Linked DNA regions of Drosophila melanogaster. The protein of the gene in region 4 interacts with the protein of the main gene of each other region in a biochemical or structural test. Each region holds a gene or a part of one and is shown on either strand. Other genes may lie near its edges. The genes, in order: Ubqn, deltaTry, gammaTry and Rpt3.

Region 1 (10,235 bases), 8.6 Mb from region 4:
TGGGCTCAAAGTTTTGCGGCGTGACGCGCACCTGCCACACCAGGCCGCGATTGTAGTTGGACCGACGGGGCATCTCCCACGACAGGCACACGGAGCTCTCGGTCCTGTTGAGCAGGGTCAGGTTCTGGCCAGGTCGCGCCGGCACCAGACGCTCAAAGTGATTGATCGTGATCGGCTGCGTCTCGTGGCCCAGGGCATTGGAGATGGACAGTCGGAAGTAGAAGGTCTCGCTGAAGCGCTTGTAGTTGTCGTCGGTTAGGTTACAGGTGACCACTGGCGCCGAGTCGAAGTTGCAGTCCAGTGTGTTGCTATATCGCCAGTCGTTGTTGGTGTTGTAGCTGATGTTGTACTTGGTGATGACCGTGTTGGGCGGCTGGGTGAAGTTGCACACCATAAACTGGAAGTCGTAGTCCAGGCAGTTGAAGTCGCGCACCAGGAGCGGCCTGGTGCCCACGTAGACCTTTGACTTGTTGATCACATACTCGTCGCACATGCAGTGGTAGTCGTTCTCTTGCTCCACGGCATTCGTGTCGCTAAACAGGATGGTGGTGTTGTTCAGGATTCGGATGTGCTTGGAATCGCGGTAGACGCGGCCGCCGCCTGTAAAGTACAGCTTCTCCACCGGGCAGTCCTCGGCGCTCTTGCCGTTAAAGTAGTCTTCGTTGAGGGTGCAGCTCAGATTAAAGTCGCCGCCGATGAGCTGCTCCACCTTGGAGGGAATCACCCAGCCAGGATCCAAGATGGCGTTGGCGCCACCCCGGCAGCCGGCAAGCAGCATGAGCAGCAGGACGAGCTGCTCCTGGGCCACCATCTTCCTGGTCCTGGTTCTGCTCCCAATCCTAATCCTAATCCTAATCCCCTCCTTCCCTTGCTGTTAAGGTTTACTCTGGCTCTCTCTCTCTCTCTCTCCCACTCTGTCTCTCTGTCTTTAGCTCTTTTCCTCTCTTTCTGTCTCTCTCTCGCTCTTACACACGCGCGCACACCAAAACGGCGCTCTCTCACACACACAAGAGCACCTTGCTGTTGGCCTCGCACTTGTTGGCTGTGTATTGGTGGCCAGTTCTCGGAAACCGTTTATACGCTGCGTTCCTGGAAGTGGCTCTTAAACATTTCACTGCCCAGGTGTGGGCTTCTTGTCCGGGGCTTCACTACGACTAAATTACGAATAGGGCTATCAGGGCCTTGCAATGCCAATTGCTCGCTTCGAGCAACTGTGGTACCGTGTTACTGTTTTGTCTCTGGCTCTCTCGCAAATGCAGAATCCTCAGTTGGCTAAGGCGATCGCTCTCCTCCCTGCCCCCGCTCGCGATGCTGACGATATATGTTGTCGACGAGTTGCTTGTCCGCAGTGTGACCGCTTATCGAAAGTTATCGCAGTCCGATATGCGATATCACTGGGGCTACCTGTCGACGAACGGCCCCACTAAATGCGATAGGTGCCAAACATCGCATTTCAGCCGAAATTCGAATTCTAGGCCACCCGTTGCTTGTATCTCTAGAACGCCCTCTGCCGAATACGTTTTCAAGCAGAGCAAACTACTTGGCAGCGGTTTTGGACGCGTTCAAAGCGTTCAATTGGCCGCTATCGATTCATCGATTGGTGGTTGATACGTCAGCCCTGGCGTGTGTAAGAGTCAAAATCGAAATCCATCGTGAGTGTGTGTGTGTCCGTGTGAGTGAGAAAGTGACGAATTACTTTTCATCAAATGGGAAATAATTTAGGGTGAAAACACGTATATATTCGGAACACATTTAAATTACAGACGTGATAACATCTCGAAAGAACCAGCTACATCGGTGCAAATTAAGCTAAACGAGAACACCGCAAATACACCATCGAAATGGCGGAAGGCGGCAGCAAGCGCATCAACGTGGTTGTAAAAACGCCAAAGGACAAGAAAACGGTCGAAGTTGACGAAGATTCTGGAATAAAAGATGTGAGTACGGAGCACGTGACCCGCCTGACTTGGTTGCTGGTACCCCAAACCCTTCTGGACCCTTCCATTCATAGCGATGGACCACCTCCCTCCCTCCCTGCTCTTTGCCCACACCCCCGAAAGTATTGGGAAATTAGTGCCCGTAATCGCGGTACAGTGCACTTTGCCTAAGCCGCACACAACACGCGCAGCTGGTACAGTGCACTTTGCACAGTGATTGGTCTTCTTCCCATTAACACACATAAATTGAAGCAGAGGCATGGGAGCGAACATTTAATTGAAAGGGGAAACTAGACCATGGGCACATAATAATGACAACAATCACACCATTCTCGCCCCACAGTTCAAAATTCTGGTTGCACAAAAGTTCGAGGCGGAGCCCGAGCAGCTCGTGCTCATTTTTGCCGGCAAAATTATGAAGGACACGGACACCCTTCAGATGCACAACATCAAGGACAACCTGACGGTGCATCTGGTGATTAAGGCGCCGACGCGCAACAACGAGCAGCCGGCCCGACAGCCGGCTGACGTGCGCCAAACGCCCTTTGGCCTCAATCAATTCGGTGGCCTGGCCGGAATGGAGGCACTTGGAGCCGGATCGAACACGTTCATGGATCTGCAGGCGCGCATGCAGAACGAGCTGCTCAACAATGGCGACATGCTGCGCTCCCTGATGGACAACCCGATGGTGCAGCAGATGATGAATAATCCGGATACCATGCGTCAGCTTATCACGTCCAATCCGCAAATGCATGACCTGATGCAGCGCAACCCCGAGATCTCGCATATGCTTAACAATCCGGACCTGCTGCGCCAGACGATGGAGCTGGCCCGCAATCCCTCGATGTTGCAGGAGCTGATGCGTTCGCACGACCGCGCCATGTCGAATCTGGAGTCGGTGCCGGGCGGCTATAGCGCCCTGCAGCGCATCTACCGCGATATTCAGGAGCCAATGATGAACGCGGCCACGGAATCCTTTGGTCGCAACCCCTTTGCCGGCCTGGTCGACGGCGGCGGTTCAGGAGCCGGCAACAACCCGCAGCAGGGCACCGAGAACCGCAATCCCCTGCCGAATCCATGGGGCGGTGCCAATTCGGGAACCAATGGAACAGTCGGTGGCTCCGGCGCCGGCAATCCGACGGGGGATCTGCCGCCGAACAATGTGCTCAACACGCCGGCCATGCGAAGCCTGCTCCAGCAGATGGCCGACAATCCAGCCATGATGCAGAACCTGCTGAACGCGCCCTACACGCGTTCCATGATGGAGTCCATGTCACAGGACCCGGACATGGCCGCGCGCTTGCTGAGCAGCAGTCCGCTCATGTCTAACAATCCCGCCCTGCAGGAGCAGGTGCGTCAGATGATGCCGCAGTTTATGGCCCAAATGCAGAACCCCGAGGTGATGAACATGCTGACCAATCCGGATGCAATGAACGCTATCCTGCAGATCCAGCAGGGCATGGAGCAGCTGCGCAGCGCGGCCCCAGGTCTCGTTGGCACCCTGGGCATTCCACCGCCACCACCGGGTGCCGGCACCGGAACGAATCCAGCCAGCGGCGATGGGAGCGGGGGCAACAGCGGTGCCAGCACCAACAATGTTTCGCCAAGCAGCGGCCTCAACGCCGGCACCGGCACTCCAAACCTGGCCCCGGGCGGTGGTCCCAACGCGCAGCTCTTCAACGACTTCATGATGCGCATGCTCAACGGGATGTCGAACAACGCGGACAACACACAGCCGCCGGAGGTGCGCTACCAGTCGCAGCTGGAGCAGCTGAACGCCATGGGCTTTGTCAACCGTGATGCCAACTTGCAGGGTGAGTGTCCTAGTGGGTCTTGGTGGGTCGCCTGCCCTGTGCGATGATTCTAATCCGCTCTCTTGTGTTTGGTTTGCAGCTCTGATCGCTACCTTCGGGGACATCAATGCGGCGGTAGAGCGACTGCTGTCCCTCAACCAGTTGTCCTTGAGTTAACAAGGCTAAGCCATAGCCATAACCAAACTGTACACAACCTGTCTATATATCTACGAACTACAACTACTATATATACCACTACGGCCCTGGAGAACGCGAATGAGAACACGACTAGTTAGGAGGACAGGTCCTAAACCCAAACACACACCCTCCGCCAAAAAATTCCACGGTCAGCGCTGCTGATCGCTTGTTTCCCCATCAAGCCGGAAATGTCAGGAATCCATCATAGCCACATGCCAACATACCAACACCCCCAAGACACAAAAAGATGGCTCCAAACGAGCATAGTTGCCTCGAGATCGGAGAGATACTAGATATAGGTGGGTGATATGAATGACGCCGGTGAGAATGTTAGATAGGGATCGCATACCAAAGTGTTAGCACTTTCGTAGTTGATATCAGATTTTTTTTTTTTTTAAATAATTTACATTTCGTGAGCTCGGAGAATCCTTTAAGCGGAAATGCGTTAGCCGAAAACCAACTTGAATATGCATACTTTGCTCACGTAATGCATAGTTTTGCACGCCCAACAACTTCAATCGAAATACTTAACGCATTTCTTTATCGGAGAACTTCGTTAATTTTCAATAAAGTTAAGCGGGAATGTGCACTTTTGTCATTGATAATGTAATAACTATTTTGTCGCCAACAGATGCGAATTCCAGTTTTGTGTTTAAGAAAAAAGAATCGGTACAGAGATCAGAGGCGTAGTATATATCCTGTGTTCTGGTCAGGCAGTTTAGTTTTAGTCGGGTGCTAGTGGGCGTGGGCTATAGCCGCAGTCCTTCTGACTCCCCCCCCCCTCCATTTCTCGCGATCGGAAAACGTTCTGGAAATTGCAAACAACTGCAAACAGGACAAACGTACAGTAGATATCGGCTATATGCAAAGACGACACTGTCTTGGGGGAATCCTAACATACGCGCGAGTATGCTGTAGTCAATCAAAATGTTTATCGATTCGTTAATATAAGAGCAATCTCCAAGCGTTATTTATCCCACATCCCGTTCAGAGGAATACAAATGTAAAAAGTTGTTGCACACAAGCGATTTGCATGCTAACGATATCTACTGTAAGTTAATGTGTGTATATAGGTATATATATATGTATATACATATATATATATATATCAAAATATTCCAAGGTGTTAACAAAAGACGTAAAACTATAAAACAAAAAAAAAAAAAAAAAAAAAAAACCAACTCCTTAGTAAAGAGAGGAAGCCCCAATAATAACTTGTAATGTAATTTACTCTAAGCTTTCGTATATAAAACCTATAACCGACCATTTGGGTTCCCATTTCCGATCAATCACACACACACACACTTTCGAAAAGCTTTCCTTCGCGCGCTCACCGTTTATATAAGATATGGATTCAGTGTATACCCTGTAAGTGCTACCACCACATAGCCTCGCTCGTCCGCTGTGGGATTGGCTGGTCGGCCGGCTGGCTGGCTGGCCGGCTGGCTGGCTGGCCGGGTTGTTGGTTGGTCAGTTGGGCTAGTGGACTAGTGGAACTACGTTTATTTGTTTAGTGAAGGAAGTGAGGCAAAGTAATTAAATGTAAATGATCACATGTTTGAAAACGTAATAAAGCTACTTTGGTTTTAGATTATAGCCAACCTCGTCTATTACTCTCTACTATCTCATTTACTTCCAAAGGCATCCGAAATAAAGCAGCTCACCCACTCTGGCTTAGTTTTAGTAAGCAGTACTTTCTAATTGCTATTCCAAATCTTTACTGCAGCTTAAACGTTTATAATAACTTATACACTTATAACTTATAACTTATGTCCTCATGCCGACAAGTTAACCAGAGCATCCCAGATCCAGTCCATGTAGAAAGTCACATTGGTGCAGACACTTAGGCCCGCACAGGAGCTCAAGCCGAAGATGATGATGCCAAACTGGAAGGTGCGATACGTGCCCCCGTAGAGAATTTTTGCGCTAAAGGGGCCACCGGAATCCCCTTTGCATGCGTGGCTCGTCTCGGTGTGGACGCATATCTGCGACTCGTCCACCTGCTGCTGGAACTTCAAGGTGCAGAGTTCGCGATCGATACGATCCCCAACGGAATGCTTCAGCACCCGTGGTATGCTGCGAAAGTCTTCTGCAGTGGTGCCCCAGACGGTCAACTGGAATCGGTCGATGGCCGCCACTGGCTCATTGATGAGCAGGCAAATGGGGCGCACGAAGTCTATAGGGGAAAGGCAGTTCTGGTTGAGACTTTCGAGGGCAACGACTGGATATCTCCCACTCAATTACCTGAATACTGCACCGCATGCTGCATCCGGAGTAGGCCAATGTCGTACTGTTGGGCTTGTATTTTGCCGAATCCGGCGTGCACGATCTTCTTGTCGATCCGAACGCAGTATGCGTTTGATAAGCGAGCACCCGAGCTGCAATTTTGTCCAGGATTCCAGGCGTCGAAATCACCCAAGTGCACCTGCCTACAGGGAGAGATTGGGTAATGGGCTGATGACCACCACATATGCTGGCGAATGGGCAGGACTTACATGGCTTCTCTAAATACGCAATGTGCTGCTGTCAAAACAAATCCTGGAATGGTTAAAATTTAGCCTTGCGTGAGCTAAATAAGACACTCATCATTTGGCACAAACACTCACTATGATTGATGAGCGATCCACTGCATTTGGCCTTGCCATTCACTATCACCGAAACAATCCAAGGATTGGCCTGTATGTCAGTGCTGCTATCAAAGTAATTCCACCAAGTTAGCTTAGCGTTAGTTGGAAGCGACCTTCCACATTCCGCGTCGAGCAGGAAAGCCGATCCCTCTCGGGATCCGAGAAATAGAGAGGCAAAGAGGATCAGGAGTGCCGCTATGACTTTCTTCATTGTAGCTCGAGGCCCGAATGGAAACCGAACTTCGTGCCATTGGGTTTTTATTATATAAATTTGACACTCACTTATCGCAAGTTCCTCACTTCTGCGAAAGTTGCAAATTGGGCTGTGTTCTACGCGTGCTTCAATGAAATTTTGGCTGGAACACATGCCACATCTATATCCATACATTTAATCACTTTTATTTCTTATAAAAAATTGATTAATTTTGGATTTTTGATTCACTCAATTAAATGGAATAGCAGAAATCAATATGGATAACATACATTTTCATTTGAACTATGACATTTCGTTTATTTAATATCTAATATTAAGTTTTTACCGTTATTTAAACTTTAAATAAAGTTCTCTTATTATAATTACTCCGCGTAATAACGGAACATAACAAGGTGTATAGGGTAGAAACACCCTTTGAAGATCTTGAATTAGACAAAGATACACTGATGGTGCGAACGAGTCCGGAGTACTCTTCGGATCTGAAACCCTATACCTTTGAATGATCCGTCTATCATATCGAGTGGGAAATTTCCTTTAACGCCGTGCACGCCAAGTTAAAGGATTAAGTACCCTTGCAGTTAAACGTTAGGCATAATCTATAGTCTACAGGTACATACATATCTATAGTCAGATTCAATTAAAATGCAATTCCTTTGTCTGAAATCTTGAAAAATTATAATAAATAAATAGAAATCCAATCGTTTAATTTGCGCCACTTTATTTTTTTAGCTATAGGATACACTGCAGGAAGACAGCATTTTCGTTCCGATTTGCATAGTTGTATGTATGTATGTACATATGTACATATGTATTTAAACGAGCTGACAGAAAATATATGGCAACAGAACTAAGAGACCATGGAATCGGATGGACATCCACAGTCTCTGGGATAACATCCGTAAACCGACCACGCTCAGCGGAATAGGAGGGAGCTTCAAGAATATCGTAATTAACATTCAGACTTAACTAGAACAAATCCGTGCCTGCAGTTCCAGTCACCGACTTTTAATCGGTAAATCACCGCTCTTTTAAAAATGTTGAGCGCTTAAACACCGCACAATTTGCACGAAAGCTACCGGTGATTTTAACATTGGCATGTTTTAGGAAATCATCGGTATGAAAAAAAAATCCCAAAAACATCGCTATTAATCACCGTTGTTTAAGCGCATTTTAACGGGCCAATCGTCCTTTGATTCAGCGTTTTTTCATCGCTGCTTTAGCGGTTTTGGGTTTTGCGGTTTATGGTTTTTCATCTTTGGGAGAGAGATCGCTCGCGAGAGAGTCGGTGTCGGTGAGAGAGTGTGATGTTTCTCAAGATCGATGAATTGGGGAACTGCAGGGAAGGTATCAACACACTGACAAAGTCAAAAGAGCGCCAAATCTTCGCTATTGATCACCGTTGTTTGAGCGCATTTTAATCGTCCTTTGATTCTGTTTTGCGGTTTATTAGTTTTCATTTTTGGAAGAGAGAGATCGCGTTCGAGAGAGTCGGTGTCGGTGAGAGGGTGTGATGTTTCTCAAGAGCGATGAATTGTGGAACTGCATGGAAGGTGTTGAATATCTTCTACCGAAAATAACGGTATCTAATCGCCCATCTACTTTATGAATATTTTTCGTGCGTAAGTGAATGTAAAATCATATATGTACATATGTATGTACATATGTACGTTTGCAATTGGTTTATTACAGCAGCGGCTTGAGCGAACAATCGAAAAACATTAAATATAGTATGTTATAGTAGGATATAGTACAACTACGGTTAAGGCACTCATACACTCTAGCACGCGCACAGGCACACACGCCAAATCGTAACGTATCGTACAGCTAGATGGGGTATTAGTCATGTCGGCGGATGCGGGGGTGAGGGGGGAGTAGGTGACGGAGGAGGCGGAGGCGGAGGAGGTCAGAGCTCCTCGAAGAAGGCGACACGCGCCTTGGTCGAGCCGGACTTGAGTTTCTTGAGCGTGGAGTATTTATTTTCGCCGGCCTTGATCTGCGCCTCGCTGAGGATGTCCAGGTTGCTCTGGTTCTCCTCAATCTTGTGCGGCGCGATCTCGGAGCGCAGTGTCTGCAGTTGACTTTGCACCTGCTTGGAGTTGCGCAGGTAGTCGAGGTGGTTGCGCTCCATCTCATTGGTGATCTGCTCCATCTCGTTGTCGGTGAGTATGAACTCCTTGGGCTCGAAGTCGTCCGAAATGCCGCTGGAGTTGTCACCTTGGACCAGGTAGTGTGACGAGTGGGTGGTCAGCTCGGCGCCGCCGGCGGTCTCCAAATCATTGGTTGAGCTGCTTGTGATCAGGGAGGGTGTGCTGATGGCCGCCATGCTGGACGCCGTATTCGCCGCGTGCGACACACTGGAGGCGGTCAGCAGGCTATCCGTGGAGGACTTGCGGCCGCTGTTGAGGAATTCGAGCAGGCGAGCGGTGGCCTCGCGCTCCGCCATTTTGGCGCAGATCAGCTCCTTGCGCAGCTTCTCAGTCTCGGCCTCCCGCTTGTCGTTCTCCACCGTCAGCTGGTGGACATAGAAGTCGGCGTCGCGAATCTTCTTCTCCAGGTCGTGCTTCTCCCGCTCGATTTTCATTTGTCGCTCGCGCAGCCGGTCCATTTCCGTCTTGAAGTGGTTTGCCTTGCACTCGGTCAGCTGCATCTGCTCCTCGTTGACACGACTCTTTTCGAAGTACAGCTCCTTGGTCTCTTCGGAACGCCGCTGGGATACAGGGAGAAACTCAATATTATAGATCAGAAGCCACTGGGCGGAGTGAGTCTTACAAGTGCATCGTTGGCCATGCGCATTTCGTTTTGCAGGTGCTCCATGCTCTTCTCCAGCTCGTAGCGCTCGTGCTCCGCCTTTTCGCGCAGCTTCTTTTCCCTGATGAACTTTTTGCGTTCGATCTGGCGGCGTTGCTTCTCCTCCTTGGCTTGGGCCTTCATCTGCTGGATTTCCATGGTGTCGGGTTTGCGGCGGCGCATATATAGATCGTGATTGCCCTTGCACAGGTCAAGAATCTGCAAAGCACACGATGCAAGTGTAGTATGAATATGGGAACATGAACATAGTGAAAATACATATACATATTTCAGTTGTCACAACTGCCCTCCTTACCATTTTGTTGATGTGGAGGTCCTGCGAGTAAAAGATGAAATTCGAAACCTTGGCATCCACCAGGCGAATGGTGAACTTCTTGTCGTCGAAGCTGACGTGCCGTATCTCGTTCCACTGGAACGTTGTCTTTGGCGTTAGCTTATCGCGCTCATCGTAGATGTTTAGGCCCACGGAGGTGACGCCCAGCCACAATTTGGTTTTGTTCTTATTCTGGTGGGGAACACAAACGATAAGATTCAGATGCGCCACGTGAAAATCAAGGCTCTCACCGTAATAGGAAAGTAGTTTACTCCGTACATGTCCAGGTCCTGAGCAATCTTCAGGTACTCCATCTCCACCTCGTCGCGCGTCATGGGCTCATGG
Region 2 (5,920 bases), on a different chromosome or scaffold from region 4:
CTCGAACAGTCATTACCATCTAAAAATGTGAACCCTGTGTCCTGATTTTTAACTAAGACCATCTTTTAAAATAAACTGACGACCGTCATAAACTGTTCATATATGATTTATTTCGAAAAATAATTAGGCGTTGTTGATCACCCAGGAGCGGAGGGCAGCAACATCGGCATAGACACCGGGGTAGTTGGAGTAAGCGCATCCGTATCCCCAGGAGACAACACCGACGAGGACTCCGCCGGAGACCAGTGGGCCACCGGAGTCACCCTGGCAGGCATCCTTGCCGCTGGCAGCAGCGCAGATCATGGTGCTGCGGATCTGGCTACCGTATCCGTAGGTGGAGGAAGCACACTGGCTCTGGCTAACGATGTTCACGTTCACGTACTGCAGCTGGGAGGGGATGGAGCTGGATCCGTAGGAGAGAGTGCCCCATCCGGAGACGGAGGCCGCAGCGCCGTTGGCGGGGTTGGAGCTAGCCAGACCGATGGCCTTGATGGTGGAGCTGAAGGTCAGGGCGCCGTTGATCTTGATGATGGCAATGTCGTTGACCATGGTGTTGGCGTTGTAGCCCTCGTGGTTCTTGAAGGAGGACACAGAGAAGGTGACACCGCCGGAGCTCCAGTAGCTGGATCCAGCACGGATCTGCAGGACGGAAGCGGACACGGACTGCAGACAGTGAGCGGCGGTCACGATGACGTTGCTGGAGTAGATGGATCCACCGCAGGAGTGGCTTCCACTGCGCTGCAGGGAGATCTGCCAGGGGAAGCTGCTGATGGTGGTAGCAGAGCCGCCGACAATGCGGCCATCCAACTGAGGCAGGAGTCCCTCAGGGACGGTGCCTCCCAGGGCGCAGGCTACTGCAGACAACAAGATCACGAACTTCAGCATGGTGCGAATCCAATGAGTTGACTCTAAACTGGACACCCCTTTTATACGAGTTTCCAATCTGTTCTTGGCACTATAATCACAACTTTCAATTATTTTTATCACCTGCGTGTCAGGAAAACCCAAATAATACCGTTGAAGTGCCCAAATGATATTCCACAACTCAGAAGTCGCACGGCTCTTTATCACAAAAATAAATAAAAATGCGAGGAAAGTGTAACTACTTTTATATTACCTTTCTAAATAATTCGCTTTCTTTTTATTATATTTAATTTTTGCAAGGTATTGATGGGAACGTCTATTTTCGACTTACATATTTAAATAGGGGATTAAACTTGTACAATAACATTGTGGAATTTTTTAAAAGTGGATGCTTGTCATTCAACTTGATTTAGTTCTAATCTAATCCAATTATTATACATAATTGTGTGCATAACTATTAATATTATTGGCTTTTTAAAAGAAAATAACTGTTTAGCATTTTAATTTGTGAATTTTGTAAAACCATTAATTTTAAGAACAATTTAATCGCCTTTGCATTAATTTTAATTACATGATTATGCGTTCAATTGCATTGTTTTCTAGTAATGCTCATGATGTTTCTCATAAGTTATATAATTTCTTTTAAAAAATTATGGTGTCTGTTTATTTAAAACACAATAAATTGTTTATAGAAATATAAATTGTTTTAATTTCGTTTAAACCCCGATATCTTTATGTGACTATCTTTTTCAAGCTATTTAAATGACCAACTTATTGCAAAAAAAAATCGTTTGGCATGAATCTGGACTTTGTATACGTATATACTTCTTATTCGCGAAATCTATTTGTCGGTCACACATTTAAAAAATATTTTGGATTTCCCTGACAAGCAAGTGATAAAAATAATTGAAATTTATGATAAGAGCGCCACAAAGAGATAGGTCCCTGTATAAAAGGGGTGTCCAGTTTAGAGTCAACTCATTGGATTCGCACCATGCTGAAGTTCGTGATCTTGTTGTCTGCAGTAGCCTGCGCCCTGGGAGGCACCGTCCCTGAGGGACTCCTGCCTCAGTTGGATGGCCGCATTGTCGGCGGCTCTGCTACCACCATCAGCAGCTTCCCCTGGCAGATCTCCCTGCAGCGCAGTGGAAGCCACTCCTGCGGTGGATCCATCTACTCCAGCAACGTCATCGTGACCGCCGCTCACTGTCTGCAGTCCGTGTCCGCTTCCGTCCTGCAGATCCGTGCTGGATCCAGCTACTGGAGCTCCGGCGGTGTCACCTTCTCTGTGTCCTCCTTCAAGAACCACGAGGGCTACAACGCCAACACCATGGTCAACGACATTGCCATCATCAAGATCAACGGCGCCCTGACCTTCAGCTCCACCATCAAGGCCATCGGTCTGGCTAGCTCCAACCCCGCCAACGGCGCTGCGGCCTCCGTCTCCGGATGGGGCACTCTCTCCTACGGATCCAGCTCCATCCCCTCCCAGCTGCAGTACGTGAACGTGAACATCGTTAGCCAGAGCCAGTGTGCTTCCTCCACCTACGGATACGGTAGCCAGATCCGCAGCACCATGATCTGCGCTGCTGCCAGCGGCAAGGATGCCTGCCAGGGTGACTCCGGTGGCCCACTGGTCTCCGGCGGAGTCCTCGTCGGTGTTGTCTCCTGGGGATACGGATGCGCTTACTCCAACTACCCCGGTGTCTATGCCGATGTTGCTGCCCTCCGCTCCTGGGTTATTAGCAATGCCTAAAAAGTGTGCGAAATAAAACGTATATTCTGACTATAAACTTGGTCTTTTATTTTTATTGCGCAATTAACAAATTAATCCCGGGCCGCCGAGTTCCATAGTCGATTCTTCGTCTTAAAATTCGCCTTGTCGCCCTTGGTCACTGGACGAAGATGAGCCGCATCCACTATGTTCCTGATGGCAATTGGCTTACATGCATTTTTCAATTTGAGACATGTTTATTTGTATTGCTTACTTGAATTCTTCGTAGTTCTGAGTGCTATAAACAGCCCTAAGTTTGGCATCGTTGCGCAGTTCATAGAGTTCTCCATCACGGATGCACTGCAAGCAGCTCTCCCGCAGACGGATAAGCTCCTCCGCGGTTATCTTCCAGTTATCCATGTCGGTATTATCTCTCAAAAGTCCTTTTTTCGATATTCACAACATCTAAATAAATTTGTTTGGCAATAGTTGCCTGGGCAACGTGTTTTCATATCGAACTAGAGAACCGGGTAAGGAGCAGTGCTGACCAAGACCAATCAAGGGTATCAGTAATATATACTAACGATAAGCCATCAATTAGCCGAAGATTAACTTTTACAGCCCTAGTAAAAAGCACGCCATGAAGGGGTTTCGTGGACAAATACGAGCAGTTTGCACTTGGCTTTCGGAATGGCTGTTTACGGAATAGTGGCTACGGTGCTGGTCCTTTTGCTGCTCGGCGATGCGTCAGATGTCGAGGCCACTGGACGAATTATTGGCGGAAGCGATCAGCTGATTCGTAACGCCCCCTGGCAGGTGTCTATTCAGATCAGTGCGCGCCACGAGTGCGGCGGAGTCATCTATAGCAAGGAGATCATCATCACAGCCGGACACTGTCTACATGAGAGATCCGTGACGCTGATGAAGGTGCGTGTGGGTGCACAGAATCACAACTACGGCGGCACATTGGTTCCTGTGGCGGCGTACAAAGTCCACGAGCAGTTTGATTCCCGCTTCCTGCACTACGACATTGCCGTGCTTCGTCTGTCCACACCACTGACCTTTGGCCTCTCAACGAGAGCCATCAATTTAGCCAGTACGAGTCCATCGGGTGGAACAACAGTCACTGTCACGGGTTGGGGCCACACTGATAATGGAGCCCTCTCCGATAGCTTGCAGAAGGCCCAGTTGCAGATCATCGATCGCGGAGAGTGTGCCTCGCAAAAGTTTGGCTACGGTGCGGATTTTGTGGGCGAGGAAACAATTTGCGCTGCCAGCACTGATGCAGATGCCTGTACGGGAGACTCTGGAGGTCCTTTGGTGGCCAGTAGCCAGCTGGTGGGCATTGTATCCTGGGGTTACCGGTGTGCGGACGACAACTACCCCGGTGTCTATGCCGATGTGGCGATTCTGCGACCTTGGATAGTCAAGGCGGCCAATGCCATATGAACAGATTTTGGAAAATAAAGACCATGCTTAAAAAAGTTTAAGAATGCAACTCCATTAATATTCGCCCCCCAGGTGGAATCGAACCACTTCGACGCAAATCGACTACGGATTTGAAGTCCGCACCCCGGACCACCGAAGTTCAGTGGGGCATTTAGTGTGCTAGAGTTTCCCTAATTATATACACGTTGTGCTGAATAAGCACTTGGGAATTTTAAGAGTACGTGTAGAGCAAATTCCAGTAGATCTGAGGGCAATATAGATAACATCGGAAATCACGAATTTCATGTATAGTGTTATATGTCTTCTTTGGTCAATGTTTTATCGCATCCAAGCTCACCAGGAACACCACGAGTTGGTTTAGGTAAAAATTTAAGATATACGCATTCGAAACGAATGTCTTGAAATCTATAAAAGGGATAAAGTTTATTACAAAATATTAACTCAGAAAATCAGCATTTTTAATTTATGGAATGCAGTGGCAAATGCATATATAAAATTAAAGAGTAAATATCGCATTCAAAGGCGATTTCAATACCATTGAGAGGACTCATAGAATTTCAACAAAAGATCAAAGAGATTAGATAATGATAATAGTTATTCCGCCCGAGTACGCATCACTTCCGTGGCTGCTGGATGTGGATCTGGGGCTTCTGCTGCACTGCAGCCGGTGGCTTGGGCGAGTGGGCCACCTGGGCGGAGGCGGGCGTAAAGTCCGTGTTGCCCTTGACGGGGGCACCGCTCACAGAGCCGGAGTTCACGGCAATGGGTTGCTTTAAAGGATTAGAGGATAAGTTAGTTTCCATTGAAAACCACATACTTATGTCAATAGCTCACTGTCAGTCCAGTACAATCCTCTGCATCCTTGGGCGCGCGTTCTGCCGTCGGCGCTTTGTGCTGCACAATTCGCATGCCACCAGCCTTCACTATAATTAAATAACAAAAACATATAGGGTTGGCAACAAATGAGGCTTGGCCACAGTAGCCGATTCAAGCCGTGTTTACGTAAAGCGGCTATTAAAAAGTAAGTAAGCCATACTAGTCGTCCAAAGTTGACATGTTATTATTTACATTGTACGAAGATGATTAAGTCAATGGCATTTTATAAACGTTAAGGATAAAATATAAGGCGTAAAAAGCTACTTTAAAAAGTAATAATTTCCTATTCAGTTAACGTTATTGTTTGAATTGCACGTGACGTCAGCATAAAGTACAAATACAAACATACATTTCTTGAAAGCTATGCGTTTGCTTGCCTGTGTTCGCTTATTTGTTTACTTATCAGCTTTGGCCGAAACAGGTTAAGATACTGATAAGGGCGCAGATATTCTGGCAATTGATTTGATTGGGTGCATTATTGATTGCCAACAAGGCAGTTTGTTCTTATAAGATTCAATTGCTGCCAAAAATCGAAAACTCGTCTGCATCGACACACACACACCAATGCAAGTGCACTTACATGCAGGTGGGTGTCCGGCCACAAGATTTGGTTGTTCATCTGCCATTTGTTCTGGTTTAGTAAGCTGAGGGTCGGAGAAGTTGAATAAATTAACGGCTTGTGCACAGTTAACAACAAAATGAGACCTTACCGCTTTTCTAGTTGTAAATAAATGCGCGGCACCGCTGTGTTTTGCTTTTGCGTTCTAATTGTGACACGTCCGACTGTTGTCTATCGAATTTTTAGCCTTTTCTCACTGGATGCGCAGTTACTCATCGACTGCTGCAACGCGTTCTCACTGCAAACATTTTCACAAATAGTGGTACACGAAATACAACTAGAATTTATTTTATTGCTCGATGTTTTTGTGTAACATGTTTTCTGTATGCAAACTAATGCCCACAAGCTATATTTATTTTATTATTTTCCCTTTTACTCTTCCGCCTGTAAAAACGTTG
Region 3 (7,362 bases), on a different chromosome or scaffold from region 4:
TCTAGCCGCAATTTCGAGGGCTTTACACCTGCGACGCAATTGGGCCCAAATAGAGAAACAGATATCAATGCTGATTCAATTGCGATTTATTTCAAGTGTTTGTCTGGCTTTACACCTCCTCGGCGGTCCTCTCGATCCACTCGTGGAAGTGGGCAACGTCGGCGTAGACACCGGGATACCTCACATCACCGCATCCATAGCCCCAGGACACAACACCGACAAGGCGGTCTCCGGAGACAAGTGGGCCACCGGAGTCACCCTGGCAGGCATCCTTGTGTGGGGCGTAGGCGCAGAGCATGGTGTCCTTGATCTTCTTTCCGTATCCGAACTCATCCGAGCGGCAACGCGACACATCGATGATCTCCAGATCAACGGCCAGCAGATGATCGGGAATGGTGCTGCCACCGGACTCGGTGGTGCCCCAGCCGGAAACCACGGCGGTGGCGCCCTCACGAGGGTTGGAGTCGGCAATACGGATCTCGCGAATGCTGGAGCGGAAGCTCAGATCGGACTCGATGCGAATAATAGCAATGTCGTTGACCATGGTGCGGGAGTTGTAGCCCTCGTGGTTGCGGAAGGAGCGAACGGAGTGGACACTGCCGCCGGAGCGCCAGTAGGTGCTGCCCACACGAATCTTCAGGTCCTTGGCCTCAATCGACTGCAGGCAGTGAGCGGCGGTGATCACAATGTCGTGGGAGTAGATGGATCCACCGCAGAAGTGTGATCCATAGCGCTGCAAGGACACCTGGTAGGGATGGGCGTCGATGCTGGTCTCATAACCACCGACGATACGACCATCCAACTGGGGCAGCAGGCCATCGGGAATGGTGCCAGCCAAGGCGCAGGCCAAAACGGAAAGAAGTACCGCGAATTTCAACATTTTAATCGTTTGTATGCTGATTCGCGGATCAAAACCCCTTTTATACAGTCCCCGCGGCAAATATCTCCACTTGATTGACAGCTGCAACTTCAGCATAATTGTTGCGTCATTTTCACCATCGATATAGGCGGTGATATTTAGAAATAATCAGCTTATCACACGACGACCACTCCACATCGTTATCCACTTTAACCACGAGGAATCTCACTTGTCCATTGATTAAACGCCTCCCGAGATAGTGACCCCCGATATAAGCACACTTTTCGGTTCGAAGAGTATCCATTCAATCGCACCATGCTGAAGTTCCTGATCCTGTTGTCGGCTGTAGCCTGCGCCCTGGGAGGCACCATCCCCGAGGGTCTCCTGCCCCAGTTGGATGGCCGCATTGTCGGCGGTACTGCTACCACCATCAGCAGCTTCCCCTGGCAGATCTCCCTGCAGCGCAGTGGCAGCCACTCCTGCGGTGGATCCATCTACTCCGCCAGGGTGATCGTGACCGCCGCTCACTGCCTGCAGTCCGTGTCCGCCTCCTCCCTGCAGATCCGCGCCGGATCCAGCTACTGGAGCTCTGGTGGCGTCGTCGCCAAGGTTTCCTCTTTCAAGAACCACGAGGGTTACAACGCCAACACCATGGTCAACGACATCGCTGTGCTCCATCTGAGCTCCTCTCTGAGCTTCAGCTCCACCATCAAGGCCATCGGTCTGGCTAGCTCCAACCCCGCCAACGGTGCTGCTGCCTCCGTCTCCGGATGGGGTACCGAGTCCTCTGGCTCCAGCTCCATTCCCTCCCAGCTGCGTTATGTCAACGTGAACATCGTCAGCCAGAGCCGGTGCTCTTCTTCCTCCTATGGCTACGGAAACCAGATCAAGAGCTCCATGATCTGCGCTTTTGCCAGCGGCAAGGACTCGTGCCAGGGTGACTCCGGTGGCCCACTGGTCTCCGGCGGAGTCCTCGTCGGTGTTGTCTCCTGGGGATACGGATGTGCTGCCGCTAACTACCCCGGTGTCTATGCCGATGTTGCTGCCCTCCGCTCCTGGGTGATCAACAACGCCTAATTATTTTTCGAAATAAATCATATATGAACAGTTTATGACGGTCGTCAGTTTATTTTAAAAGATGGTCTTAGTTAAAAATCAGGACACAGGGTTCACATTTTTAGATGGTAATGACTGTTCGAGTGCAATGACTATTAGATATAGTGAGTTGTGCAAGCAGTAAAGGGACTGCTTTTAGGACTATGGAAATTGATTGATTGGATTTAACTATCCCCATATTCTGTTAGAATGCCCTAAGGATTATTAGCGTGATTGGAATTGTAAACAACTAGGCATTATTAAGAAGCAAACTTGCGCAATGTAGTCGTAAATAAAACATGCATTTTTAACTACAACTTTAAAGCTCTATTAGTTTTCCAAGACTGTACGTTAGGCGGATAGGGAAATCTAGATCATGATCAAGAAGAATATGAATTTTATAGGCTCGATACGCATCATTCTACATAAGACTTACTTTATAACGATATATTCGTAACCATTTTATTTTTATACTCTTTACTCGTAGAGTAAAAGTGTATAATAGATTCGTTTAAATGTATCTAACAGCTACAAGTTAGTGTTTCCAATCATATAATGTACATATATTCTTGATCAGGATCGATAGCCCCATCCGTCTGTCGAGTTTCTTAGCAACTATAAAAGCTAGAAGCTTGAGATTAGGCATACAGATTCTAGAGACATAGACCCATATTTCCCCTTTCCCCTCCTCCCCTCCCTCCCCTCCCACAATTTTGAAAAATATTTTGATTTTTTTTCACATTTTTATTGTTTTGTAAATTTGTATCGATTCGCCAAAAATATTTTTGCCACGCCCACTCTAACGCCCACAAACCAATCAAAACTTTTTTTTCATTCATTCATTCATTCATTTCATTCATTAATTTCATTCATTCATTTCATTCATTAATTTCATTCATTCATTTCATTCATTAATTTCATTCATTTCATTCATTTCATTCATTTCATTCATTTCATTCATTTCATTCATTTCATTCATTTCATTCATTTCATTCATTTCATTCATTTCATTCATTTCATTCATTTCATTCATTTCATTCATTTCATTCATTTCATTCATTTCATTCATTTCATTCATTTCATTCATTTCATTCATTTCATTCATTTCATTCATTTCATTCATTTCATTCATTTCATTCATTTCATTCATTTCATTCATTTCATTCATTTCATTCATTTCATTCATTTCATTCATTTCATTCATTTCATTCATTTCATTCATTTCATTCATTTCATTCATTTCATTCATTTCATTCATTTCATTCATTTCATTCATTTCATTCATTTCATTCATTTCATTCATTTCATTCATTTCATTCATTTCATTCATTTCATTCATTTCATTCATTTCATTCATTTCATTCATTTCATTCATTTCATTCATTTCATTCATTTCATTCATTTCATTCATTTCATTCATTTCATTCATTTCATTCATTTCATTCATTTCATTCATTTCATTCATTTCATTCATTTCATTCATTTCATTCATTTCATTCATTTCATTCATTCATTTATATCATTCATTCATTTCATTCATATCATTCATTCATTTCATTCATTCATTTTCACTGTGGAGTTTCTATCGATATGCCAGAAGAAAGATGCTAGTTCGTTCACCCTGACACTAGCTGAGTAACGAGAGTATCTGATAGTCGGGGAACTCGAATATAGCATTCTCTTTTGTTAAAGAGTAAGTTCGGTTAACATAAGTTAAACTATGTAGTAATTGATCGAAAACGGGTACCTCAACAAATTACCTTTAATTTATTAAAATGATTTAAACCATTATTAACCTCCCGACAGAAATCTAGGTGTTTGTTATTTTTCAGGAGGTGAGAATACATTTTTTAGAAGGTTTCCTTTCCCATTTGCTGAATAAGACACATTACTGTTGAATCAGTAATAGGTCAAAACCACAATGAAACATAATAAAAGTAATATCCAAACTGAAATTTATTTCGCATACTTCTTAGGCATTGCTAATAACCCAGGAGCGGAGGGCAGCAACATCGGCATAGACACCGGGGTAGTTGGAGTAAGCGCATCCGTATCCCCAGGAGACAACACCGACGAGGACTCCGCCGGAGACCAGTGGGCCACCGGAGTCACCCTGGCAGGCATCCTTGCCGCTGGCAGCAGCGCAGATCATGGTGCTGCGGATCTGGCTACCGTATCCGTAGGTGGAGGAAGCACACTGGCTCTGGCTAACGATGTTCACGTTCACGTACTGCAGCTGGGAGGGGATGGAGCTGGATCCGTAGGAGAGAGTGCCCCATCCGGAGACGGAGGCCGCAGCGCCGTTGGCGGGGTTGGAGCTAGCCAGACCGATGGCCTTGATGGTGGAGCTGAAGGTCAGGGCGCCGTTGATCTTGATGATGGCAATGTCGTTGACCATGGTGTTGGCGTTGTAGCCCTCGTGGTTCTTGAAGGAGGACACAGAGAAGGTGACACCGCCGGAGCTCCAGTAGCTGGATCCAGCACGGATCTGCAGGACGGAAGCGGACACGGACTGCAGACAGTGAGCGGCGGTCACGATGACGTTGCTGGAGTAGATGGATCCACCGCAGGAGTGGCTTCCACTGCGCTGCAGGGAGATCTGCCAGGGGAAGCTGCTGATGGTGGTAGCAGAGCCGCCGACAATGCGGCCATCCAACTGAGGCAGGAGTCCCTCAGGGACGGTGCCTCCCAGGGCGCAGGCTACTGCAGACAACAAGATCACGAACTTCAGCATGGTGCGAATCCAATGAGTTGACTCTAAACTGGACACCCCTTTTATACAGGGACCTATCTCTTTGTGGCGCTCTTATCATAAATTTCAATTATTTTTATCACTTGCTTGTCAGGGAAATCCAAAATATTTTTTAAATGTGTGACCGACAAATAGATTTCGCGAATAAGAAGTATATACGTATACAAAGTCCAGATTCATGCCAAACGATTTTTTTTTGCAATAAGTTGGTCATTTAAATAGCTTGAAAAAGATAGTCACATAAAGATATCGGGGTTTAAACGAAATTAAAACAATTTATATTTCTATAAACAATTTATTGTGTTTTAAATAAACAGACACCATAATTTTTTAAAAGAAATTATATAACTTATGAGAAACATCATGAGCATTACTAGAAAACAATGCAATTGAACGCATAATCATGTAATTAAAATTAATGCAAAGGCGATTAAATTGTTCTTAAAATTAATGGTTTTACAAAATTCACAAATTAAAATGCTAAACAGTTATTTTCTTTTAAAAAGCCAATAATATTAATAGTTATGCACACAATTATGTATAATAATTGGATTAGATTAGAACTAAATCAAGTTGAATGACAAGCATCCACTTTTAAAAAATTCCACAATGTTATTGTACAAGTTTAATCCCCTATTTAAATATGTAAGTCGAAAAAAGACGTTCCCATCAATACCTTGCAAATTAAATATAATAAAAAGAACGCGAATTATTTAGAAAGGTAATATAAAAGTAGTTACACTTTCCTTGCATTTTTATTTATTTTTGTGATAAAGAGCCGTGCGACTTCTGAGTTGTGGAATATCATTTGGGCACTTCAACGGTATTATTTGGGTTTTCCTGACACGCAGGTGATAAAAATAATTGAAAGTTGTGATTATAGTGCCAAGAACAGATTGGAAACTCGTATAAAAGGGGTGTCCAGTTTAGAGTCAACTCATTGGATTCGCACCATGCTGAAGTTCGTGATCTTGTTGTCTGCAGTAGCCTGCGCCCTGGGAGGCACCGTCCCTGAGGGACTCCTGCCTCAGTTGGATGGCCGCATTGTCGGCGGCTCTGCTACCACCATCAGCAGCTTCCCCTGGCAGATCTCCCTGCAGCGCAGTGGAAGCCACTCCTGCGGTGGATCCATCTACTCCAGCAACGTCATCGTGACCGCCGCTCACTGTCTGCAGTCCGTGTCCGCTTCCGTCCTGCAGATCCGTGCTGGATCCAGCTACTGGAGCTCCGGCGGTGTCACCTTCTCTGTGTCCTCCTTCAAGAACCACGAGGGCTACAACGCCAACACCATGGTCAACGACATTGCCATCATCAAGATCAACGGCGCCCTGACCTTCAGCTCCACCATCAAGGCCATCGGTCTGGCTAGCTCCAACCCCGCCAACGGCGCTGCGGCCTCCGTCTCCGGATGGGGCACTCTCTCCTACGGATCCAGCTCCATCCCCTCCCAGCTGCAGTACGTGAACGTGAACATCGTTAGCCAGAGCCAGTGTGCTTCCTCCACCTACGGATACGGTAGCCAGATCCGCAGCACCATGATCTGCGCTGCTGCCAGCGGCAAGGATGCCTGCCAGGGTGACTCCGGTGGCCCACTGGTCTCCGGCGGAGTCCTCGTCGGTGTTGTCTCCTGGGGATACGGATGCGCTTACTCCAACTACCCCGGTGTCTATGCCGATGTTGCTGCCCTCCGCTCCTGGGTTATTAGCAATGCCTAAGAAGTATGCGAAATAAATTTCAGTTTGGATATTACTTTTATTATGTTTCATTGTGGTTTTGACCTATTACTGATTCAACAGTAATGTGTCTTATTCAGCAAATGGGAAAGGAAACCTTCTAAAAAATGTATTCTCACCTCCTGAAAAATAACAAACACCTAGATTTCTGTCGGGAGGTTAATAATGGTTTAAATCATTTTAATAAATTAAAGGTAATTTGTTGAGGTACCCGTTTTCGATCAATTACTACATAGTTTAACTTATGTTAACCGAACTTACTCTTTAACAAAAGAGAATGCTATATTCGAGTTCCCCGACTATCAGATACTCTCGTTACTCAGCTAGTGTCAGGGTGAACGAACTAGCATCTTTCTTCTGGCATATCGATAGAAACTCCACAGTGAAAATGAATGAATGAAATGAATGAATGATATGAATGAAATGAATGAATGATATAAATGAATGAATGAAATGAATGAAATGAATGAAATGAATGAAATGAATGAAATGAATGAAATGAATGAAATGAATGAAATGAATGAAATGAATGAAATGAATGAAATGAATGAAATGAATGAAATGAATGAAATGAATGAAATGAATGAAATGAATGAAATGAATGAAATGAATGAAATGAATGAAATGAATGAAATGAATGAAATGAATGAAATGAATGAAATGAATGAAATGAATGAAATGAATGAAATGAATGAAATGAATGAAATGATATGAAATGAATGAAATGAATGAAATGAATGAAATGAATGAAATGAATGAAATGAATGAAATGAATGAAATGAATGAAATGAATGAAATGAATGAAATGAATGAAATGAATGAAATGAATGAAATGAATGAAATGAATGAAATGAATGAAATGAATGAAATGAATGAAATGAATGAAATGAATGAAATGAATGAAATGAATGAAATGAATGAAA
Region 4 (7,949 bases):
GTTCCTGCTACGCTCTCGCTGGTCCCGCTCCCGCTGTCGTTCCTGTTCGCTGCTCCCGCCTCTTGGTTGGAGCTGCAGCAGGGAGAGAAAACTCTCGTCGGCGAACGTTTGCGGCAGCAGATCGTCACCGGGATGCGAGTCCAGGCCCTCGTCCTCCTCCTCGTTTTCGCACTTGATGACCGCCTGTTCGTTCTGCTCGAGAATGATGTGCGGCAGCAGGCGGTGGTCCAGGATGAGATTTAGCTGCTCCAGCAGGCGGCGCTGCTCCTGGTTCTGCTCCTCCGTCAATGAGAGCGAGAGATCGTGCTTTTGCCGCATCGTCAGCTGCGTCCACATGTCCAACTTGGAGAGATCGCGCAGTCCCAGGTAGTTTGGCTGCTTCAGCTTCTTGACCAGCCGTCCGCCCTCGTTGATCAGCGTGAACTTCTTCACGTAGTCCCACTTCCACTTCCAACTGTGCTTCGTGTGCGGTCTCCGGCGGAATTTGGCCAGCGGTAGCAGTTCCCCCGTGCCGCCAAATTGATCCGCGGTCAGTAGAGTGGGATAGGAGGCGCCGCCAGGCCCCAGCTGACTGGGTCCGTGCAGCATAATGAGGTCTGACTTATGGGATGCGGACGACGATGTGGCTGACGTTGTGGACGTCGAAGACGAGGTGAACAGCCGTCCGTCGAGGTGATTCTGGAGGTTGTGCCGTACATTAGAGATCACATCCTTGTAGAACTTGTCATCGAACACTGAGTTGGCGACGGAGGCGGATGATGAGACGCAGGCCATGCTGGCTGGCAGCCGGAAGACTGCATCCGGATTGACAGACTCCTGCAGAGCCATGTTACCCGCTGCAGCAGTCTGCTGATGCGACTGCGACTGTTGATGCTGATGCTGATTCTGTTGCTGTCGCTGCGTCGCCGCCCGACTGCTGCTCCGGGATTTGCTGCTGGGCGTGGCCAGGGGCGGCGGCTCCTCCTCCTTGCGCTGGTTTCGATTCCGATGGCTGGGCAGACGGTTCTGGGTAAGGCCGAGGCGAAAGAGCACCGGCTCGTCGGCGCCCATCAGACCCGGTTTGGTGGCATGGCCATCCTCCGGATGATGAAGCGAATGCTGCTGGCGCTGGTGTCCCAACAGGTGATCTGCGTCCTGGAACCGCAGGCGACACGGCTGGCAGGCGAAATACTTATCTGCATGCTGCTCGCTGAGGTGCTGGAATAGCTGCTCCAAATGCTTGGCCGGCAGGCAGATCTGCGGGGGCGTGGCCTGGCGGCGATTGCCTTGCTGGCCACACCACTGGCAGCCGGGGAAGCCGCCGGCGGGATGAGAATTGGAGCTGGTGGAACGACCGCTGCAGCGTCGTTCCTGCCGCTCGGTGTGAAACTTGTCCACATGCTTGGCCTGCAGCTTGCCGGAGGCGAACTTCCTATCACAGTACAGACACAGGACCTTCGAGTGCGCGGCTCCACCCAGGCCGGCGGCCTCTTCCCGCTCGCGCTCGCGCTCCCTCTCCCGTTCTCGTTCCCGTTCCTCCGTCATCTGATGCAGCTTCTCCACCAAACGGGGCAGCCGCTCCAGCGGCAGGCTGCAGATCAGCGAGAGCGGCTCTTGTTCCGCTTCCAGCTGATCCTCGTGCGGTTCCACCTCTTCCTGTTCCGCGTCCACATCCTCCTCCTGCCGGGTCTGTCGTTTTTTGCGCGGATTAGATGAGGCAGCGGCCGTGGCTGGTGCCGTTGCCGGTCCAATTGGATTCTTGCCGTTGACCTGCTCCTCCGAGAACTTGAAGCCACGGCGCAGGCCGAAGCGCGACATGGTCTTCATGTGGAGGCCACTGGGTCGTCCGTGGTTGCGTTGCACAAGTTAACTGCTTCGCCACTCCTGCAAGCAGTGCGGGGTGTGCGGACAACAATTTACTGCTGCACGCACACTGCTTCGTTCTTCCTTCTTCTTTTTGTTGACAAATAAACCGCAAGAAGAAGCAGCGAAAAACAAAAACTACTCACACACACGTACGCACACACACTCGCACGCACACCTGCTCAATTGGAAATTATACAATAAACATTTTCAACTCCTCGAATTGATCTCGCTCTGTTATCGGACACTATTGTTTTGGCCAACAGCTATATATAGCATAACTACCACTCCACTGCACAAGACCACACTGTCCACTTGGATATCCCGACTTGGTCTCTCCTGCGTATCTAAATACGTTTCGTTTTGTTTCGTTCTATTCGTTTTGTTCTGTGTTTCGGTTCGTTGTATTGCACTGTATTCCGGGATTTCACGGGATTGCTTTCCGTTTTGTTGTTTTGTTTCTTGTTTTTTTCTTGTATATTTTGTTCTTTTCGCTTGGATACGGACCAGACCAGGAGCGCCAACGGATCCGTATCAGTGCCTTGCACTTAAATTTAAGCACGGCATTGCAGCAGCTCGACCACCAGTGTAGCGCATTCAATTTTCCCTGGCCGTTCTTTCCACCCTAACAACTGCGTTAGGAGGTATCTAACGTTTAGCCCAAATCGATGCGTGCGTACGGCGCAGAGGGGGCGGCGGCGCGGCCAGAGGGGGCGGGGCACGGCAGCAGGACAACGACGACAACGACAACGATACTTTGTGGGAAACGTACTCGGAATCGGAATCGGAATCGTACTCGTACCCGTTCTCTTTCCCGTTCTGATGCTAGCGATATTGGGGAAACGATTTTTCGGCGACGGCGGCGGCATTATCAGCCATCGAATTGTGCTATATAAACAGCAAATTCGATTTCACTGTCCTACCAGCGCTCGTGTGTGTATATATTTGGTTCGTTCGCACACGCACACATAGCACACACAGAAGCAGCAGGAGCGACCGAAATGTTAAATGTGTGTGTTTTTCTACTCTTTTTTTTTCTTATGGGAAATCGAAATCGCGTCAAAATGGTCGGGTTTTGCCAGTGTGTACACACTTGTACCCGCTGGCGAGAAAGGTACTCGAACTATCGATAGTTGCGTCTCGAGCAGCGATACTTTGGCATGGTTCTACGTGAATTGCTTAGAATAACTTGCGATTTTATCAATTACTTATAAGCGATCTGCATTCGAAATAGTTTTTGTTAGTAATAAATCTGTTATCAGCTTTTGTTCCAATCAGAGCTGGTATATATCGGGCAATTATCAGACAGCTGATTTTTTCCCATCACCAGATGCTTTGAAACGTATTAAAAAATACTTTCCGGATATTAAGTGAGAAACATGACATGTGATATTAGATTTATTTGTATACAACATTTTAGCTTTACAGACTAACTGGTATAGGATATTGTCCAATAAAGAGGAGTTGCTTTCTTATCAGAAAGAGTATATATCGAAAAAAAAAACCGATTGAAAGAGCAGCACAATTTGATAGATAAATGGCCCCATCGATAGATCACAATCGATTGCGGACAGGGTTGCCACCACAACGCACTGCTGGCTTGTTTTTGACGAGTCATTTTGGTCGCCTCGCAGAAAACGCAAACTAATAAAACGAGACTCATTGCTGAACGAAAAGAATGCCGTACAACATGGACGTACTGATACCGGAAAAGGTGCGTAGTTGCCTCTCTGCGCCGCCTGGCATGCGTACTAATTACCTCTTTCCCAATTCCACTTTTTCCACCAGGACGAGCTCTCCGACTTGAAGCTAAAAGATGCGCACAGTTCCCTGGACGAACTGGACATGGAGGATCTCTACGTGCGTTACAAGGTGAGTCGTCCACTGGTCTTCCATTTGATCACCCATCTAAGCGGCCATTGTGTTGTAGAAACTGCAAAAGACACTGGAGTTCATTGAAGTGCAGGAGGAGTACATCAAGGACGAGCAGCGAAACCTGAAAAAGGAGTATCTGCACGCCCAGGAGGAGGTGAAGCGCATCCAGTCGGTGCCGCTGGTGATTGGCCAGTTCCTGGAGGCCGTCGATCAGAACACGGGCATTGTGGGCTCCACCACCGGCTCCAATTACTATGTGCGCATCCTGTCCACCATCGATCGCGAGCTGCTGAAGCCCTCCGCCTCGGTGGCCCTGCACAAGCACAGCAACGCGCTGGTGGACGTGCTGCCACCAGAGGCGGATAGCTCCATTTCGATGCTGCAGCCGGATGAGAAGCCCGACGTTAGCTATGCGGACATTGGTGGCATGGACATGCAGAAGCAGGAGATCCGCGAGGCAGTCGAACTGCCGCTGACCCACTTCGAGCTGTACAAGCAGATTGGCATCGATCCGCCGCGCGGCGTGCTTATGTACGGTCCGCCCGGTTGCGGCAAGACCATGTTGGCCAAGGCGGTGGCCCATCATACGACGGCGTCGTTCATACGCGTCGTCGGCTCGGAGTTCGTGCAGAAGTACCTCGGCGAGGGACCGCGCATGGTGCGCGACGTTTTCAGGCTGGCCAAGGAGAACGCGCCGGCCATCATCTTCATTGACGAGATCGATGCGATTGCCACGAAGCGTTTCGATGCGCAGACTGGCGCCGATCGCGAGGTGCAGCGCATTCTGCTCGAGCTGCTCAACCAGATGGACGGGTTCGATCAGACCACGAACGTTAAGGTGATCATGGCTACCAACAGGGCGGACACACTCGATCCGGCATTGCTGCGACCTGGTCGATTGGATCGTAAGATTGAGTTCCCGCTGCCCGATCGCCGGCAGAAGCGACTCGTCTTCTCCACCATCACCTCGAAGATGAACCTAAGCGAGGATGTCGATTTGGAGGAGTTTGTGGCGCGGCCGGACAAGATCTCCGGTGCCGATATCAACGCCATTTGCCAAGAGGCGGGCATGCACGCGGTGCGTGAGAATCGCTACATCGTTTTGGCCAAGGACTTCGAGAAGGGCTACAAGAACAATATCAAGAAGGACGAGCAGGAGCACGAGTTCTACAAATAGATTATATTAATTCATACACACTACTCCCGCCCCATTTTTTCCCCCAACACACTAAACTCTTCTTTGTACGCATAAAGTTATAAACATTAATAAAAAAATAAAAAAAAACAAAACAACTTGTAATCGAAGTGCCAAGCGATCCTTAATCCTAAACGAACCAACAGCCAACAGTGGGCAAAGCATTCCATTTACGCAACAACAAACTAGACAAAAGCCATATATTTGATTCGGTGAAAAGAGTGGATGCAAACAAGGAGCATTGGAAGGATAGCCGGATCGACGGCTGGCTTACTTCATCAGGGAATTGACCACGGCGTTCACATTGATGGCCTTTAGGTCGGCATACGTCTGACCCGTGCCCACGAACACAATTGGCTGGCCGGTTATGTAGGTCATGGAGATGGCGGCGCCCACCTTGTCATCGATGGTATCGAACTTGGTCAACACTATGCCGTCGATGATGTGCGGGTTCTCGTTGGATGAGTAGTCGGCCAGCGACTGATTGAACTTGACCAGCTGGTCGACGGCTTCGTTGCCCACCAGTGCCTCGCCCACGAATAGCACCAGATCCGGATTGTTCACTTTGATTAGCTTGGACAGGGAACGCATCAGCGGCTCGTTATCCTGCATGCGTCCGGCGGTGTCCACAAGCACCACATCCACTCGCGTATCGTGGGCAAACTTGATGGCCTCCATGGCAATGCCGGCGGCATCCTTGCCGTAACCCTTCTCGTACAACTGCACCATGTTGCGTCCATCGTGCTTGGCCGCCGGATGCAGTGCGTTCAGATGGCGTGTGTGTGTGCGCAACTGCTCGACGGCACCGGCTCGGAACGTATCGCAGGCGGCGATCAGAACGTTGAAATCGTTCTCGATCAGCCAAAAGCAGATCTTGGCCAAATTGGTGGACTTGCCGACACCATTGACACCGCAGAAGATTATCGTGTACGGGCGGCCGTTGCGCTTCGATTCGAGGGCATCGCGTATGATGTCGATGCGCCGTTTGGGCGATAGTATCCTCACCAGCGATTCCGTGAGCGCCTCCTTCACCTGGCTGGCGATGCTGTCGAATGTGCCCATTTGCTTGCCATCCAAACTGGCGGCCACCGAGTCGCACAGCTTAGCTGCTATCTCAGAGGCCACGTTCTTCGATATCAGATGGTCGCGCATCTTCTCCAGCGCCGGCTGCAAATCTGCCAGCGACATGGTCTTGGCGCCTACAATGCCCTTGAAGTAGGATAGCAGGCCACCGCGCTTGCCCTTCTTTGACTGCACCTGCTCCTCGGCCTCCCCCTCAGAGGATGCATCCTCGTTGTCAGCCTCGTCCTCGCTCTCCACATCCAAGTCGCGGATGACGCCCTGCATTGTGCCCACCAGCTGCGAGTATGAAAAATGATAATAATGAGTTCGTGATTTCACTTTGAATGCGAGTCGCGTTCGGGGAAAGTGAAAGTTAGTACTCACCTCGCTGTTGATGTTCTGGTACTGCACATCATCGGGCGAATCCCTGGAGCGATCGAGCAGAGCGGCATCCTTGGAATTACCGCCCAGATCCCAGACGCGTGGCTTCTTGCCGGCCTTCTCGGGCTTGCTGGACTTGGAATCACTGGGCGAGGTCTTCTTGGTGGGCGTGAGCTTTTCGCGCAGCTTGCGCCGTTTCTCCATGATGATCTTGTCCATTGGGGAGCCCGTCGGTGGCGACGACGGCTGTGATTTGGATGGTGGCGGGGCCTCCTGGATGTTCACCCGCTTCTCCACCGGCTTCTTGTCGTCCTGTATCATCGAGGCGACGGTCTTTTTCGATTTCTGTGACTCGTTGTAGGAGCGCATGGTTTTAGGTGCTTTCACTTGCTTGGCGGACGCCTCCTCCGCGGCGCTGAGCACGCGTCGATATTCGCGATCGAAGTCGTAGTCATCGCCCAGACGTATGTCGCCGTACTTTTCCTTGAAGGCCGCCTGCATGTCGGCCAGGAATCCATCTAGGTAGTTCAGTTTGATCACCTTCTGGAAAATGGCCGCATAGACCAGGTCCAGTTCGTTGTCCAGCTTAAACTGCACGGCCAGGTGGTCCTCCTCGTAGTACTTGGCCTCTGTGTTGCGCTCCTGCAGCCGCACAAAAGCACATTAGTGTCCATTGGTGCATTCACAACCAAATCCGTGCATGCACTTACCTCCAGAATGACGCCACGTATCAGGCTGTTGATGCAGGAGGCGAAACTGTTACCGGACGCGTTCGAGTGCCACAGCACCACTCCGCCCTTGGTGAATATCACCACAAAGTCCAACATTTTAGCTACGCTTCCGATCCGTCGTCACTTTCAACAACAACGCACTCTACTCGCATTGCATTTGCATCAAATCAAAAGTTGCCACACGTTCCACGTCACTTGCCTAGCGATGGCAGCGCGCTCGATAGCTACGCGCGTTATCGATATCGAAAGCTGTCACTTTTGAAAGCCGAAAAACCGTTAAATACAAATAGTTCAATTTGAAAAAAAAAAAAACAATAAGCAATATTAATTTCACTAGAAGTCTATTATTCATATGAAATGCAAATACAGTAGTTCCAAGCTAACTTATACATTTCAAATGTAGGGCAGCAGTTAGAGGATTCCCTGTTTTTATGATTAAAAACTAGTTCCCATTCGAAAATAAATGAAGAGTCCTTTGTTTTTGCTTTACACATCTTTAATGTTAAATTTAGTTGTGTATGTTCACGTTTCATTACAATATAATTTATTATTTATATTTAATAATACATTATTAGAGTCCAAGTCCTAACACTTTCATTATTTATACCGCATAATATCGAAGCACTCATTCAGTTGGTTTTGCCATATTAACATTGTTTTAAAAACTCGCATTTGGTGGATTAAAAAATGGTTTATCATTATCATTCGCCTGCCTTGGGTTTTGTTTAGTATTTTCATTTTTAAAGTGCTCTGAGGAAATGCCATAACAAAAAGATTAAACGTCTTGATTGGATAAATACTTTAGGAGAAGCACGTGAGTATGTTTCGTTCACATTTTCGATTTAGTTTAGTTTGCTTTGTTT

The links.
Region 1: the proteins of Rpt3 (region 4) and Ubqn form a complex in vitro, tested with the Drosophila melanogaster proteins (one study listed by BioGRID).
Region 2: of the proteins of Rpt3 (region 4) and deltaTry, one has a biochemical effect on the other in vitro, tested with the Drosophila melanogaster proteins (one study listed by BioGRID).
Region 3: of the proteins of Rpt3 (region 4) and gammaTry, one has a biochemical effect on the other in vitro, tested with the Drosophila melanogaster proteins (one study listed by BioGRID).

The regions. Positions count from the first base shown.
Region 1 is NC_004354.4:19,682,160-19,692,394, forward strand, and holds Ubqn (ubiquilin), read left to right. Parts: upstream 1-1,648; 5' UTR 1,649-1,841; coding exon 1,842-1,937; intron 1,938-2,280; coding exon 2,281-3,751; intron 3,752-3,830; coding exon 3,831-3,907; 3' UTR 3,908-5,499; downstream 5,500-10,235. Other genes in the region: dome (domeless), read right to left, coding at 1-811; CG14227 (uncharacterized protein), read right to left, coding at 5,704-6,104, 6,173-6,357, 6,424-6,466, 6,535-6,766; Mer (merlin), read right to left, coding at 8,673-9,476, 9,539-9,775, 9,873-10,082, 10,142-10,235.
Region 2 is NT_033778.4:11,353,475-11,359,394, forward strand, and holds deltaTry (deltaTrypsin), read left to right. Parts: upstream 1-1,844; 5' UTR 1,845-1,858; coding exon 1,859-2,620; 3' UTR 2,621-2,654; downstream 2,655-5,920. Other genes in the region: CG30025 (uncharacterized protein), read right to left, coding at 124-885; CG13202 (uncharacterized protein), read right to left, coding at 2,692-2,791, 2,853-2,998; iotaTry (iotaTrypsin), read left to right, coding at 3,269-4,027; CG12384 (uncharacterized protein), read right to left, coding at 4,642-4,797, 4,862-4,950, 5,484-5,529.
Region 3 is NT_033778.4:11,345,168-11,352,529, forward strand, and holds gammaTry (gammaTrypsin), read right to left. Parts: upstream 4,704-7,362; 5' UTR 4,689-4,703; coding exon 3,927-4,688; 3' UTR 3,894-3,926; downstream 1-3,893. Other genes in the region: epsilonTry (epsilonTrypsin), read right to left, coding at 110-880; betaTry (betaTrypsin), read left to right, coding at 1,175-1,936; CG30031 (uncharacterized protein), read left to right, coding at 5,660-6,421.
Region 4 is NC_004354.4:11,121,793-11,129,741, forward strand, and holds Rpt3 (regulatory particle triple-A ATPase 3), read left to right. Parts: upstream 1-3,308; 5' UTR 3,309-3,520; coding exon 3,521-3,556; intron 3,557-3,630; coding exon 3,631-3,714; intron 3,715-3,772; coding exon 3,773-4,894; 3' UTR 4,895-4,993; downstream 4,994-7,949. Other genes in the region: CG11122 (uncharacterized protein), read right to left, coding at 1-1,806; SrpRalpha (signal recognition particle receptor alpha), read right to left, coding at 5,183-6,271, 6,359-6,997, 7,066-7,182.